Xenopus tropicalis: one gene and its partners. The protein of the gene in region 1 purifies or fractionates together with the protein of each later gene. This does not show direct contact. Links are inferred from orthologs where the notes say so. Each region holds a gene or a part of one and is shown in the gene's direction. Other genes may lie near its edges.

What was found.
Region 2: the proteins of eif4a2 (region 1) and eif4g3 purify together in Homo sapiens (affinity purification with mass spectrometry; 3 studies listed by BioGRID and IntAct, with this or other methods). This does not show direct contact. The link is inferred for Xenopus tropicalis from reciprocal best matches to the Homo sapiens genes EIF4A2 and EIF4G3.
Region 3: the proteins of eif4a2 (region 1) and eif4g1 purify together in Homo sapiens (affinity purification with mass spectrometry; 6 studies listed by BioGRID and IntAct, with this or other methods). This does not show direct contact. The link is inferred for Xenopus tropicalis from reciprocal best matches to the Homo sapiens genes EIF4A2 and EIF4G1.
Region 4: the proteins of eif4a2 (region 1) and eif3h purify together in Homo sapiens (affinity purification with mass spectrometry; 3 studies listed by BioGRID and IntAct, with this or other methods). This does not show direct contact. The link is inferred for Xenopus tropicalis from reciprocal best matches to the Homo sapiens genes EIF4A2 and EIF3H.

The regions. Positions count from the first base shown.
Region 1 is NC_030681.2:105,926,357-105,930,454, reverse strand, and holds the start of eif4a2 (eukaryotic initiation factor 4A-II), read left to right. Parts: upstream 1-1,284; 5' UTR 1,285-1,310; coding exon of another isoform or gene 1,311-1,339; intron 1,340-2,127; coding exon of another isoform or gene 2,128-2,173; intron 2,174-2,252; coding exon of another isoform or gene 2,253-2,322; coding exon 2,323-2,385; intron 2,386-2,436; exon of another isoform or gene 2,437-2,508; intron 2,509-2,583; coding exon of another isoform or gene 2,584-2,723; intron 2,724-4,098. UniProt on the Homo sapiens protein: ATP-dependent RNA helicase which is a subunit of the eIF4F complex involved in cap recognition and is required for mRNA binding to ribosome.
Region 2 is NC_030683.2:132,837,516-132,841,080, forward strand, and holds part of eif4g3 (eukaryotic translation initiation factor 4 gamma 3), read left to right. Parts: intron 1-232; coding exon 233-337; intron 338-433; coding exon 434-566; intron 567-666; coding exon 667-764; intron 765-1,072; coding exon 1,073-1,166; intron 1,167-1,265; coding exon 1,266-1,389; intron 1,390-2,042; coding exon 2,043-2,263; intron 2,264-2,382; coding exon 2,383-2,489; intron 2,490-2,641; coding exon 2,642-2,814; intron 2,815-2,973; coding exon 2,974-3,099; intron 3,100-3,326; coding exon 3,327-3,408; intron 3,409-3,531; coding exon 3,532-3,565. UniProt on the Homo sapiens protein: Component of the protein complex eIF4F, which is involved in the recognition of the mRNA cap, ATP-dependent unwinding of 5'-terminal secondary structure and recruitment of mRNA to the ribosome. Functional homolog of EIF4G1.
Region 3 is NC_030681.2:99,828,146-99,832,238, reverse strand, and holds the start of eif4g1 (eukaryotic translation initiation factor 4 gamma 1), read left to right. Parts: upstream 1-1,292; 5' UTR 1,293-1,413; intron 1,414-4,093.
Region 4 is NC_030682.2:136,690,011-136,693,575, reverse strand, and holds part of eif3h (eukaryotic translation initiation factor 3 subunit H), read left to right. Parts: intron 1-863; coding exon 864-984; intron 985-2,538; coding exon 2,539-2,671; intron 2,672-3,565.

The DNA.
Region 1 (4,098 bases):
GACTTTCCTTGGGCCGGGTTGGAGCAGCAGAGTGCCATTGAGTCCTATGGTAGGCTTCCGAAATCATGCACCGAAGGTTCAGTCAGAAAGTTTTTCACGCCATTTATGATTGTTAAGATACGAAAATTTCATAACTTTCGGATCATATCACAATACAAATTTTCGCGCAATTAACTCACATCAGAAATTATCACATTTAACCCGAATTTTTCCAAAACATACTTTACATTAATTTAAATTCGGACTTTAATAAATCTGCCCCCAAGTGTACAAATTCATTTAAACCTTTTATTTAGTTTTTTTCTCTGAACAGTGTTTTATTGCCCTGTTTGCAAGCTTATTACCCTGCATAATTACTTTTTACATTTTATATTGATGATTTTATTGCATTTTTAATGGTTTTATTTAATTTTTAGTGTATCAGTGCTGCCAACACAGTGTTAATTAGAATTAACTGTGCCCACATTAATGTGTGCAGTTTAGGTTTGCATGAATTATTGTTAGTCAATAAAAATACAAAACCCACAAAAGAATAAAGTATTTTACGCAGGAATATTTTTTTGGGGGGGGGTTATGTAGAAGCCATCAGAGGGAACCACTTACCATCACAAATACCTACACAGCAAAAGCAGAACTCCACTGCAGAAAATCTAATAATGTTCTGCATTTAATAATCCCCGCTGAGGCAGAACAACATAGATTTGAACTTTCTCCAGTTTTCAGAAATCAATAATGTACATAAACTAGGTTAAATGATACCGATGTTGGGCTGGAGCTACAATGCTTTGCGCAGTTTGCACACATTACGATACCTCGTTTTAGCAAACACGCTTAACATTTTATCAGCACAACTTCATTGCTAGAGGTACTGCACCATCCAGCTTCTCTTCCCTGCATCACGTACAGCACACAGAACGTCACCCACTGACCGCAAGGGAGGAGGTCTTAGCAATCTGCCCGTGCAGGGGCTGCTCCGGAAACCCCGTACTGTTCAGGGACCGAAACCCTACACAATATGCTGCAATATCTTTCCGCGGAGAGCACAGACGACTCATCGACAAAAAAATAGTACCTATACCACAAAATAACATAAGAGTACAAAATATTGTCGTACGAGAATAAATAATAAAATAATCTCTACCGCTTTTGGGTTGTAATCCTGAATAGTATGAGACTTGCACGCATTAGTCAATAAAATCGTCTTTTTACTGGTGTTCGTCCGCGGTTCGGAATGTAGTCCCAGTTGTATAAATCGGACGTGGTAGCTTTCCAAGTCCTTTTCAGTTGAGCTCTGAAGTGCGGTGTGGATCATGTCAGGCGGTTCTGCGGATTATACTAGGTAACTGTTTTGCACAAGTTATTGAACGAGGATTTTTAGGTAGCCCTAAAAGAGGGAGTGGGTGGTAGAGACTATAACATTTAGTGGCAATATATATTTGTTAGGGGCTGAGTGTAAGGCCTTCTTGGTCGGCTTTACACGCGGGCTTCTTCAGGGCTCTGCGAATTCCCGGAATCTTGTGCCAAATGCTGCAGGGTGTTGTAGTTGGGTAGTAACTAGAAGCGGTATGGCGAGGTGTTCCTGACCGTAATGATGCCCTGCTCTGCACATGAGTAAGCTTTGGGAATGCGGCTATGTCTTTTGGTTGCGGACCTACGCACAATTTTAGAGCGAAACGGTTTGGATTCACCTAAGGGCTGTGGCTCTCATCCGCAGGGTGGGGAGGGGGGGAAGATGGCGCCGGCAGAACATGGCGCCATGAATTGTGAGCACTGTGCGAAGGGCGCAAGAGCTTGGCTGTATGCTTCGCTACGGTTACTAATTAATTTGATAGGTAATTGTTATCCTGTGATAGATATATACTTTATTGGGTACAGATGTTAAGTAAGCAACTGTCCCATCACTGTTAAATGTAAGCAGGATACTGTAGCAGCTGCAACATCTTGTTATGCCTGTTAAATGAATGTAACTGCAGCAGCTGCCTTCTTTAGGCTGTGTGCCTCTTATACATCAACTTGTATATATGCATGTGCCAATATAGCTGCTGCTCTGTAGCTTGGGTGGTGGTGTATGTCCGTTTGCTTAAGGCAAAGACATGACTTGAAGTGCACTTGTGTTATTCTTCTCAGAGACCATGGAGGCCCTGATGGTATGGACCCCGATGGTGTCATTGAGGTGAGCATAATGCTTATTTCTCCTTTTATGTTAAATTCTGCTTCTCACTGATAAATAACTGGTTAACTTGCCATTGCAGAGCAACTGGAATGAAATTGTTGACAATTTTGATGACATGAATCTTAAAGAATCTCTTCTGAGAGGCATTTATGCTTATGGTTTTGAAAAACCATCAGCCATACAACAAAGGGCAATCATTCCCTGTATCAAAGGTAAGAAAAGTTCACATCTGAGTAGGTAGAATAAAAAGCTTCCCTTAATACAAGTGAGATGATGGCATACCATCTTTCGGGACTGAGTTGATGTGAAGAGTTTTTCTGTTTTGCTGATCACTTGTATATTATGTGACTAATAGTTAAAGTGCCAAAATAAAATGTGGGAACATTGAATGTGTATCCTACTTTTTTTAGGGTATGATGTGATTGCTCAAGCTCAGTCAGGTACTGGCAAGACAGCCACATTTGCTATTTCCATCCTGCAGCAGCTGGAGATTGATCTCAAGGAGACCCAAGCTCTAGTATTGGCCCCTACAAGAGAACTCGCTCAACAGGTATTGATAGGCTAGTATGTGCTGCACAGGCTTCAGTTTAATAACTAAACACACTAGCGAACGCTTAATGATAAAATACTGAATATCTAAAGGGAAACTATCTGTTTCTTTAACTGATGTAGCTAGTGGTGCATAAATTTGTTGCAGTATTATGGCAGGGAAATTAAGTTAAACCTAAAGCAAAGTGTTTTCATTTAACCGTACTGCTGATTATCACTAATAAGCCGCCATACTGTGTCCACCCCCCGTTTTTGTGTAGTAGTAGTATAATGAGCAGTGTTCTTAAATGTCATTATCTGTGCTACTTACTTATTAAAATATACTAGTAAGTAACTTCACAGCAAAGGATTTTTTTTAACTCTTCTTCCTACCATTATGGTGTTTACTTTAGTGTTCTTAGGCCCTTGGGTTATAATGACTAAAGGCATGATCTAAGCAGTCATGTATCTGGCTATTTAAAATATCCTTAAGGCTGCAGTTGCCAACAATGGCAGACTGGTCCAAAAGGCCAGGCGACACCTGATTTAATATTGCTTCCTAAGGGGCATACTAATTTGAAACCATAGTGACCTTTGTAGTAAGACTTGCACATTTGTTTAATGTGCTAAATAGGTGTGGGTAAATGTGTATATAAAGTCTCTAAGAAACATGGCTTTCTGTGGGAAGATTACCCAGCCTCCATTAAAGAATGTTTTACTCCATTGATTAACTGTAATCTAATGAAGCTAATGAAGATGTGCTAAACTAAATTAGTGCATTAGCCCATAGCAACCATTTGGCAGTGACCATTTTCTAACAAATTAGAACATCAGATCTATTTGCTGACTGGCTTCTATGGCTAATCGCACTGATGTGGTTTGAACAGCTAGCAGATCCTTAGGGCCACATTTACTAGTCTGTGCTGAAGTGCTGTACCTGGCTTCTTGAGTTGGTTAGGCCTAGAATTCATGAACCTTTGTAATATGGCTTGAACATACTACACATGCATTAAGGGTGTGGTTTGCCAGCCAAGCTGATGGCATCAACCATATTTGAACTGTTCTACGACAAGGGCTTTGGAGTGCAGTACTTATGCGTATCATTTTAGAATCAAACATGACTTTTTTTTTTTTTTTTTATAAAAATTCTTGTATCCCTGTCAGCAATTACTAACCATGCACTCTACTCTCCCTTTCACAAAAGACTTTAATGAAGCCCCACAGCAATTATTTTTACAGTACTTTAAATCCTCTTTAAAGACCCTTAGATTATTATTTGTGCACCTCTTTCTACATATTAAAATATTGACTTAAGTGTCCTGTAGTGTAGCATATCTGCACTGTAAGTTCCTCCTGTGGCATGGAAAAGCTTTTAATCTTTGTGCATATTTGACATA
Region 2 (3,565 bases), on another chromosome or scaffold:
ACAGAGCTCTGATTCTCTGTACTTCCTGCTCCTGGGCTGCTCTCTTTCCCATGGTCAGACAGGCCCCCCCCCCTGGGTAAGTGAATCCAATCTCCCCCCAGTACTTACCCAGGTACAGAGCTCTGATTCTCTGTACTTCCTGCTCCTGGGCTGCTCTCTTTCCCATGGTCAGACAGGAATATAACATGACATTGTGTTTCTCAGTTAATGGCTAATACCCACTCTGTTACAGCCACGTATGGATCAGTACTTTAACCAGATGGAGAAGATCGTTAAGGAGAGAAAAACCTCGTCTAGAATCCGCTTTATGCTGCAGGATGTCATAGACCTCCGGCTGGTGGGTGGAGCCATAATAATAATATAGTGCTCCCTGTCCCCCCCCCCCAGTTTATGTCTTTTGTGCAATGAGATAAGAATGTCGCCCTTTCGGCAGAGTAACTGGGTGTCCCGCCGGGCAGACCAGGGGCCCAAGACCATCGAGCAGATCCATAAAGAGGCCAAGATAGAGGAACAGGAGGAGCAGAGGAAAGTGCAGCAGTTAATGACCAAAGAGAAGAGGAGACCAGGTAAGGAGAGGCACCGCGGCCCCAACGTCCCCCTGCGGGGGGGCCTTATCCCTTTCAGGCAGCAGGGGGCGCTGTGCTTACAGCCTGTGCTTGTCCCCAGCAGGGGTGCAGAGAGTGGATGAAGGCGGATGGAACACTGTGCAGGGGGCAAAGAATAACAGGGTGCTGGACCCTTCCAAGTTTCTGAAAATCACTAAGGTAAGGAGGCTGCCCCCTCCCGTGGCACTGAGCTCAGCCCATGCCTTGTTGCTTTGGTTAGGGGGTTCCTCCGATAAATCTGTGCCAGCCTTGCCCGCAGTTACTGGATTAATTACCCCCCTCCTCTGTGGTATCTGTAGAGTGCTAGCTTCTCGTTCTCCTGTATGTGCCCTTCTGAGTGACGCCCTGGCATCTCTCCCCTGGCATCTCTCCTGGCACAGCCTTACAGGTCTCTGCGTGTATTACAGGGCATTCAGGGTGTGCCCAGGGGATTTTGTATTTACCCCCCCTCTCTTTTTTGCCCTCAGCCCACTATAGATGAGAAGATCCAGTTGGTTCCCAAAGCTCAGCCTGGCAGCTGGTTAAAGGGGAGCAGCGGAGGTGCCAAGGCTAGTGAGACTGGTAAGAGCTCAGGCTTCCCTCTCTGGGCTGGGGTAGTTAGTAGCCACAAACCCCACGTGCCCCCCCAGCTAATGCATTGCTCATTGTCTGTTCTGTTAGAATCTCTGAGACCGGGAGCCCCCAGCCTGAACAGGTTCTCTGCTCTGCAGCAGCCGCTCTCCTCTGTGTCTTCCTCCTCCTCATCGTCCCCCTCTGAGCTGGACTCTCGCAGGTTACTAACCAGGTAATGTGGCCCTCACATTGCTCTGTGGCCCCTCGCATTGGTCGGTGTCCCATTTTGTATCCTCCCCCACTGCTGCTAGACCTTGGGCATTGTGTTCCTAATTAAAGGGGAAGTAGAACCCACACCTATAAAGCTGCTGAATAAACATGAAACCCAAATTCTTTTTTTTTTTTTTTTTTTTTTCAATGAAAACCCCCAAACCTGTTATAAAGAGATTTAGTCATCTCAGTTGTCAATCAAATATAGCCTGCCCCGCCTCCGTGCCTCAGGCACCTCCTTCTCTTCCCATTTTACACTTACTGCAGGGAACTGCCCCCTCCTCTGCCTATAGTTGGGCACTAGGCCAAAGCCTTAGGAACAGCGCCACAAACTGGCACCTACCTGCCCGCTGTGACTCCCAGGACCCTCTACGAATTCTTTCAATAAATCTGAGGTGCGCAGCATCTGGCGCAGGGAGGTATCACAGGCCTGGTCTCAGCATTGGCTCCTCCCTCCCTATTGTTGGGAGGGGCTTGCCCCAATGGTTCTGGTGGGTAACCAGCTTCCTTCTTTGTGGGCACTTGGAAACCAGGAAGCATTTGCTGATGATCATGGGAGTTGTAGTGATGACCTGATACTAGAACATGTGACCTGACCGTTGTTTTGGGGTTTAGCAGCCGTGGAAGCACGGGGCGAGAGAAGAACGACAAACCCTCTGCGCCCTCCTCCATCCCGTCTGCGCCCCGACCCGGCACCCTCCTGCGCGGCAGCAGCAAAGACTCGGCCGACAATCAGGAAGAGCTGCGCCGGGAGACGCTCCAGACGGTCAAACAGCTGACGAACGTCGCCGAACCCGACAAGAACACTGTGCCAGAGAGACGGCCCAAAGAGCCAGGTGAGACCCTGCGGTTCTGCAGATAAGCTCCGCCCCAAGCCAGGACCCTTGTCTGTGTGAATCATTAGGGGGCGTGGCTATTTCCACCATTTTACTCACACAGATTTATCATTTCCCAGCCAAGTCCGAGCCGTCGGAACCAGACAAACCCACCCTGTCAGAGGAGGAGATGGAGAGGAAATCCAAGGCCATCATTGATGAGTTTCTCCATATTAATGACTACAAGGTACTGTGTGTGTGTGGGAGGGCGGCCCGGTGGGTTGCAATAAGGGCACGAGAAGCCTGGGTGGGTCCAATGGGTGCATATGGCTTTCCCAGACTCCTCCCCTTCCCGATCATTGGTCGCTAGAACCTTCTCCCTGTGTCTCCGCCCATCAGGAGGCCATGCAGTGCGTCGAGGAGCTCGGTGCCAATGGGCCGCTCTCAGTCTTCGTACGACAGGGGGTGGAGTCAACGCTGGAACGGAGTCAGATCACCAGGGATCACATGGGTCAGCTCCTCTACCAGCTGGTCCAGTCTGGCAAACTCAGCAAACTGGACTTCTTCACTGGGTGAGTTTTAATCGCTGGTTTTGTTCTGTTGGGGCTGCGTTAGTACGACTTTAATGTTGCTATGGAAGCGTGGGCACTAGCTGTATCCTGGCCATGACCATAGGGGGGCGGTCTTTTGCTTATGGGTTTGGGTCACAACGTTCTGTGCCAACGCCGCAGGTTCTCGGAAACGCTGGAGCTGGCCGACGACATGGCGATCGACATCCCGCACATCTGGCTGTACCTGGCGGAACTGGTAACCCCCATGTTGAAAGAAGGCGGGATCTCTCTACGAGAGCTGATAACGTGAGTGGGGGGGAATGAAGTTTGTATAGGAGGCGGGACTTAGGGCGATAAGGCAATTACAGCCATGAACCCTGGGCTTTCTTATCATCTGTCAGGAATCTCATACCAAGGGCCACGCAGTCTCCTCTATCCGTTAGGGCCCCATCTGGATTATTTAGTCCCCAAATTCCCCCAGCGTGGCACCATGGCAATGTGGCTCCTCCCATTAACTGCTTTTTCCTACACAGAGAGTTCGGCAAAGCTCTGCTCCCTGTGGGACGCGGAGGGGAATTATTGTCGGAAATATTGCACCTTCTATGCAAACAAATGGTACGTACCGGCTTTCCCAGCGATAGATGGGGGGGGGGGGGCGTTAGGTCTTTCTGTCCCAGTGAGTGGGCCGAGTACCTATTTGGGGTGCTCCAACCTCATTGGTCCTGTTGCCCCTTACAGAGCCATAAGCGAGTAGCCGCGCTTTGGAGAGAGA
Region 3 (4,093 bases), about 6.1 Mb from region 1:
AAGCTTCACGCATGCGCACCGCAACCCCCCCCCCATGCGTGCCACTTCATTCATTCGGAGCCATGGGGAGAGGACGCGCTAAAGTTTTGGCGCTTCCTCTCCCCATTATTCTGCACGGGGGCAAATTGTTCTGGTGTGGGTGTGGGCCTGGGTGTACTGCCAAACAGAGCCTGATGTAGGCTGCCAGTCAATATAGGGGCTACAAAATAACCAATCAGAGTCCCTATTTGTAACCCCAGGAACAGTTTTCATGCTTGTGTTGCTCACCAACTCTTTATACATTTGAATGTTGCTCACAGGTAAAAAAAGTTGGGGATCCCTGCTCTACATCATACTACTAAGGGGCAGATTTACCAAAGCACGAATTCAAATCCCGAATGGCAAAAATTCAGATTGGAAATGAAAATTTCGCTGTCATTTCGTCGCCGTCGCAACTTTTTCGTATTTGTTTCGACTTTTTCTTCGCCGGTGCGACTTTATCGTATTTTGCGCGACTATTTCATCGCCGTCACGATTTTTTTGTATTGAGCAATTATAAACGCCGGAAAAACCAATCCGATTTTTTTGCGACGGCGACGAAAAAAGTCGCAGAAAATATAAGAAAAAGTTTGACGGCGACGAAAAAGTCACGGAACATACGAAAAAGTCATGACGGCGACGAAAAAGTCGTAAAAATACCGATCATTACAAAAAAAATGCATTCGGACCGTGGATTAGTAAATGTGCCCCTAAGTCACAAAAGAGTTCCATGACAAAGTCACTGCACAAGGAGAAGTACTTTTATACAGATCATGGAATTCTGAGGTGGCTCCTAATATCCTCAGTTATTTTACAACAGGGAATACATTGTTTATTATAATACACACGTTTCAGTGAGTCATATGAAATAAGCTGCATCACAGGATAGTCACGGTTCTTGTGTGCGTTTGTATACATTGTTTTAAAATAAATAAATATATATATATATTGGAATTCTAAATAGGACGTTGGTAGCAACATCACAAAATGAATTTTTGCTAAACATTACCGTTTTGTAGTAAAAGTAAGTCATTATAATGTAGATACGCGCTACATACACTTCTGAAATAATTTCTCACACATAGTCGCAGCAGCTTGGCTAGTAGACAAAATGAACACGCATATGTTCGGGAATACAAAATCTTTAAACACACACTATATCGAGCAAAAATCTCGCATTAGCCCTAACACACTTCAAGTCACGTGATACCGGCAACATTCTAATCACGTGATGTGTGCAGGGAAGACAACGCGGCGCTAGTTTGTGCTCTTCCCTTTCCGCTTTTAGTCTGTCACGTGGATTGGGTCTGCGCTTGCGTAGAGGTTCGCCGGGATCCGGAAATGGTTGAGCTAGCTGGTGCGACTGCGCCCGGCTGCGCGGACTGAGGAAAGCAGGTGAGAATCGGTGGGGCCTGATTTGTAATCCATTGCCATCCTTCGTCCTGTTAATGCCTGTCGAGTCTGAAACGTGAATTGGTAACTTACTAGTGGCGCTTACCCACCGGCACCGCGTGGCGCGATGTCCGTGTACTTAAAGCTGCCTCACCATGGCCTGTCCGTATGAGGCCCTTAACAACCCTTTTAGCTGTCCTTCATAGCTAAAGTCCGCTCGGCGTGAGAGTCGAGCAGACAAGATTGGCATTTCATGTTGTGTTGTTTGTGTAAATGTGAGGAGAGATGGATGGAATTGCTTACTGAAGCCGGTTCCGTATGGAGCGGCACAGCGAGGAGTACGTGTGACATTGTGTCAGTTTAGGTGGGTAGCGCGGAGGGGGCGGAGGCGCAGTGACATCATGCACCTCATGAGTTACAGCATGCACCGGCAATCAAAATGTCCTCCATCAGGGGCTTTAATGGCTCCGTAGGCTCAGGAACTCCATGCGGTTATTCGGCGGGCATGAATGAATGGCACCATACCGTTTCAACGCGAAAAGAGCTTGTGCTGGTAGGGAGTGGGAAACTTAGCTTGCCCTATTGTTTTATATGGCACGTCATTTCTTTTGTGACCCTCCACTGTTCATTTGCGGCCAGTTCTATCCGTGATAGTGCATTCAAATAATATATTAACACGTTGGAACTGTAAAAAAATAAGCTGCCTTTCCTGAAACTTCTAGGACTTGATATCCCAGTTTAGGAAGACAGGTTCTCCCATCTTTTTCTTCAGCTCAAACTTAAATGAGACTTTTTTTTTTTGTAACTATTGTTATTTCTGTTAACATATGTTTTAACTGGATGTGTGTCTGTGGGTGGGTGAAGGGCGGGCACTATGGGTGACACTTAGTTTTGCTGAGTAAGTGAAAGTAATCCCACAAAGGCTATATAGTGTGCTTGCTTCATCTGCACCCCACACCCACCCTAGGGTGCTCTAGCATGCTGCTTCTTAATCTTTTACTGATGGCACTGCCTTTTTTTTTTTTTTTTTTATTATAACACTGCCATTTTATAGCATCAACTTTGTGTGTAATACATATAATGTCAAATTATATATAACGGCACTCACTTAATGGAGAGAATGTCTGGGTGCATACCCACCCCAAATATGTAATATAGAATGTCATATAAAGCAGAGTACTTACAGGACTTGAATGTATGGTGAAAAAGAAATGTCCTGTCCTTACTTTTAAGTCCTGTAAGCACCCTAAGATATATATTCATATAATTTACATTTTTGACCCTGAGAATAACTTGCATTTATAAATTTGTATGGTTATGCTATCACATGGTTGTTTTAGTTCTGTTTTATTCTGTGTAGCTCTGGTATAGGCAAGACACTAGTTAACCTTCCTTATCTTTGAAACTGTAAACTTAGCTCTGCTGCCCTAATTGTGAAACATTTCTTGAAGCAGTTGATTGCAGTAGTGGTAAACGAAACTGGTGTAGTGTGTTAGTGGCGGTGGTTAATTGGGCAGTTTGGTGCAGATCTTTTTGATAGTAGATCAGGCAAATGGACGTAAGAGACAGCTCCTAAAAATATGGGGTTAGCCTGATAGTAGCCTTCAACACTCCTGCCTTTATTACTTCTGTATTTATATCCATGTCCATCATTTGCATGCTTTCAAGGTCTGCTTTAGTGTAATGAGTAGAGGACCCCGGATCATTTGACTTTAACGCGCCACAGAATCAGTTATGTTCTGTCACCTGTTGCATTATGCATCAGTAGAACTTGTACGACTTCTCTGTTTCTTTGTTATAATTGTTTTACTAAGGTTTTAACAATGCTGCATACATGTTTTATTAAATATTATATTTAGTCAACAGTTTAGCATTATATCTTAATTATCTATGTAGCGCTGACTTATTCCACAGTGCTTTACAGATATTTATGTTTACATGAGTCCCTGACAAAATTGAGTTTAAAATCCAAATCGGTGTAAATCTCATCTGCTGGTTAGTACCTGCTTTTTTTTTATTTATTTTTTGCATAAGTCACTGTATAACCACTAGGAAATAATAACATCTGTTATAAAAAAAAACAAACATTTTTGTTAGCAACTTTAAAAAAGTAAAGTTTAAATCACCGGGGGTTGTCTATATTAGGTACCCTCCAGTGATTAAGATTGCTTGCCATATACCCTGGGCCAGTGCTTCTGTTTGCTAAAAACTGTCCGGACCCAGAGTAATTTCTGCTGCAGATCCTTATCGCCACCTTCTTCTGAGTCTTTCTTCTGTTCCAGTTGACCCATTCACAGTAGAATGAAAGCCGAAATTAAAAATAAAAAGCTGGCTCTTGCACTCTAGTGCACATGCGCACTCCCACTCCACGGTGAAAAGAGGAGAAAGCACAGAAGAACTTCTGCAGAAAAACCCCAGTCTGGTGCAGCTTTCTGCTAACAGGAGCACTGGTCCAGTGTATCGAGTAAGCCATTACGATTACTGGGAGGGTGCCTAACACTTGGCACCCCCCAGTTATTTAGACTTTCCTTCTCCTTTAATGATGATCTTCATGAAACCAACATGAACACTCAGGTGTGATGCTTGGCAGTAAAACCTGTTCATGTGACTAACTTTTTTTTCAGAATAAATGTCAATCAAAATTCCTTTATTAAAGGAACAGTAACACAAAAAATGAAAGAGC
Region 4 (3,565 bases), on another chromosome or scaffold:
TGATTCCCTTTTCTCTGTAATAATAAAACAGTGCCTGTACTTGATCCCAACTAAGATATAATTACCCCTTATTGGAGTGGATCAATCCTATTGGGGTTATTTCATGTTTAAATGATTTCTTACTAGACTTGCTAGTCTTACTAGACTTAAGGGTTTGAGATCAAAATTATGGAAGAATCCCTTATCTGGAAAATCCCAGGCCCTGAACATTTTGGATAACAGGTCCCATACCTGTAAGTCTGTTGACATCATATAAGGAGGGCTGTTTGTCCCTCAGGACACCTTGCCTAAATTAAACCCTTCTCCTTGTTTTTTGATTGTAAGCTCTAATGAGCAGGACGCTTTTTAACATTTTAACACTGTTCAGCCGAAGAGTGCCTAAGCCCTCCAATGGCCTGCTTGCATGTAATCCTGACATCCCGGATCCAGTCGATTTGATTTGGTCATTTGGCGCTAAGGATCAATCCAATATTGTTCACCTTGGGGCAGTCATATTGGGGAAATATCCGCTTGTTTGGCCAAACGAGCAGATCTTTCAGTGTGGCCAACTTTAGTTCAGCTGTTCAGGAAATGTTGTTGTTATTTGGTAATAATATATAACTCTAAAGTGATGTTGTTGGAAGTGGGGAAAAAAACAAGAGAAAAAATAGGTTTAGAATTAAAACTCCTGTAGAGACCAGTGACTCAACCTACACCCATGTCTGCAACCCACAGGCACCTGCTGTAGAATGGTTGCTAAAGGAATGGTTGGTGGTTACATAGTCGCTTGGCATTTTTTCACACTTTTATGTACAGTCCATATAGGTTTCTGGGTATCTGGGCCTTTGTATTTAATCTGTGTCTGTTCCTTTTACCCTACCCAGTAACCACCTGGAGAAAAGCCTGCAGCTCCTTATGGACAGAGTGGATGAACTGAGCCAGGACATTGTGAAATACAACACTTACCTGCGTAATATCAGCAAGCAGCAGCAGCAGAAGCACCAGGTGGGTTACCTTTATTGGCTCGGGGAATAGAGCGCTTCCTACATGGGATGTGGCTTTGCTTGATCCTCGGGGGCAGGGCCGGGAATGCTATCATGGGAAAACATGTTTTTTTCAAAACCAATCCATTAATAGAGCTTCTCCAGCAGAATCCTGCATGGAAATCTGTTTTTCATAAACACACAGATTTTTTTTTTTATATTCATTTTTGAAATGTCACATGGGGCTAGCCATTGTCTTCATTTCCCAGGGTGCCACAGCCATGTAACCTGTGCTCTGATAAACTTCAGTCACACTTTACTGCTGCGCTGCAAGTTGGAGTGATACCCCCCCCCCCCCCCAGCAGCCGATCAGCAGAACAATGGGAAGGGAGCAAGATAGCAGTTCCCAGTAGGTATCAGAATAGCACTCAATAGTAATAAATCCAAGTCCGGCTTGGGACTCCTCCAGTTACATGGGAGTAGGAGAAACAATAGGTTAGCTGAAAGCAGTTCTAATGTGTAGCGCTGGCTCCTTCTGAAAGCTCAGACTCTGGTACAATGCACTGAGATGGCGCCTACACACCAATATTACAGCTAAAAATACATTTGTTGGTTCAAGAATAACATTTTAAATGACAGAGTGAATTATTTGCTGTCTAAACAGTGTCATTTAAAAATAAAAGGTATACCGTAAAAATTATGACCGAATCTCTTTAACCTATGTACTTTAACTATATAATAACAATAGCAGCTGGAAGGCCCCCATGTTTGACACTCTTGCTGCAGAGCCATCAGTTGCGCCCCCCCGGGCCCATGAAATAACGCTGCCCTGTGAATATTACAGGTTATTCAGTATGCTTTGCAGCCTTTCCTCATTTCTTAGTCTATTACATTTACCCTGATCCCCGTGTGCAAACTAATGAAGCGTTTTCGCCAGATGAATAGAAACGCCTGTATTTTTCCGTATTTGATTCAAGAAAGCTAAAGCGTTTGAAGGTATTTAAGAAACAAGTGGAAAGCCGGTCATTAACCAGCCCCCCCCCCCCCTCTTCTCTCTCCAGCGTTATCCATTGCAAAATATCACTCAAGACTATAATTTTATCATAGGAAGCAAAGGAGAAAAAAAAAGTTTAGCCTTGCAGGCTTCATTTACCTCTAATTGCTTTGGTTGTGGTTCATTACAGCATCGTTAATGTCCCTTACGCCAATTACATAAATCCGCGCTTGTGCTCAAAAGCTGTTTGTTTCGGCTGTGAATGTTACCGGCGCACCTATGCTAACTTCTGCAGCTTTTCTTATATACAGAGGTATTTGGCGGCACAAATCTGCAGTCTGTGGGGCACAAAGAAAGTCCGTTCTTCTCTAGGGATTTTTAAATCATTTTGCAGAACCTTAAAGGGATAATACACTCAATATACTCATCCTACACAATCCTCCTTTTTTCCATTTATTGTATTTTTTTTTCTTTATACGTTACTCTGTGGCCAGGCAAATAAATGTCTCCTAATGTCGGTGTGCAATAAATAAATGCAACACAACTAGCTAATAATATGTTGTTTTTTCTGTCTCATTGCAGTACACGCAAAGAAGGCAACAAGAAAACCTACAGCGCCAGAGCCGCGGAGAGACCTCTTTGCCCGAGGAAGATGTAAACAAGCTGTTTAAGCCCCCTGTGCCTCCTTCCAGAATGGATTCCCTTCTTATTGCAGGTAATGTGGGTAATGCACTGGGCAGTGGCCATGTCTCTTGCACTTTTTTTAAAAAGCGTATTACTGATAAATACCTGACTATGACTACTGATTGTGTCCTACACACAATCTCACACTTCCAAAATACTATTAAAGGACACGTTAACCCAATAAAATAATTTTTGCCTAATTAAAGAAAACATTATTCTTAGCAACTTTGCAATATACATTTATTACAAATTTGTAATGGTTATTTGCATATATAATTGCTATAAGAAGCAGTGTTTGCCAGTCCTTTTCTATTCCCTGCCCTGGGGGTTCTGGCATTTGGAACAATGTAACACAGGGATCCCTAACCAGTGGCTCAGGGGCAACATGTTGCTCTCCACCCCCTTTGATGTTGCTCCCAGTTGCCCCAAAGTAGGTGCCATTTTTACATTTCTGACTTGGAGGCAAGTTTTGGAAGCCCAGACACAGTTTTACTCCAAGCAGAGCTTCTTGCAGGCCTGCAATTCACATGGGGCTACTAAATAGCCAATCGCAGTCATTAATGCTCGCCCACTCGAAAAAATTTTCACGTCTGTGTTGCTCCCCAACTTTTATTTAATTGAAACGTTGCTCACGGGTTAAAAAGGTTGGGGAATCCTGATGTAACACAAGGCAGCAGCCTGACAGACCTGACTCGCTGGAGGAGACTGACGTTTGCAACATTGTTTAAAAAGTCATAACCAGGAGTTAAGCATATGTGGTCTTCCGTTGGAATTATATTTACAAATAACGCTTGAAACCGTAACCATTTTCAATACATTTATATTACAAAGTTGCTTAGAATTATGTTTTGTTTTATTAGGCAAAAAATTATTTTTTGGGTTGACTTGCCCTTTAAAAGAAGGCTCCTACCACACCTTAGAGAAA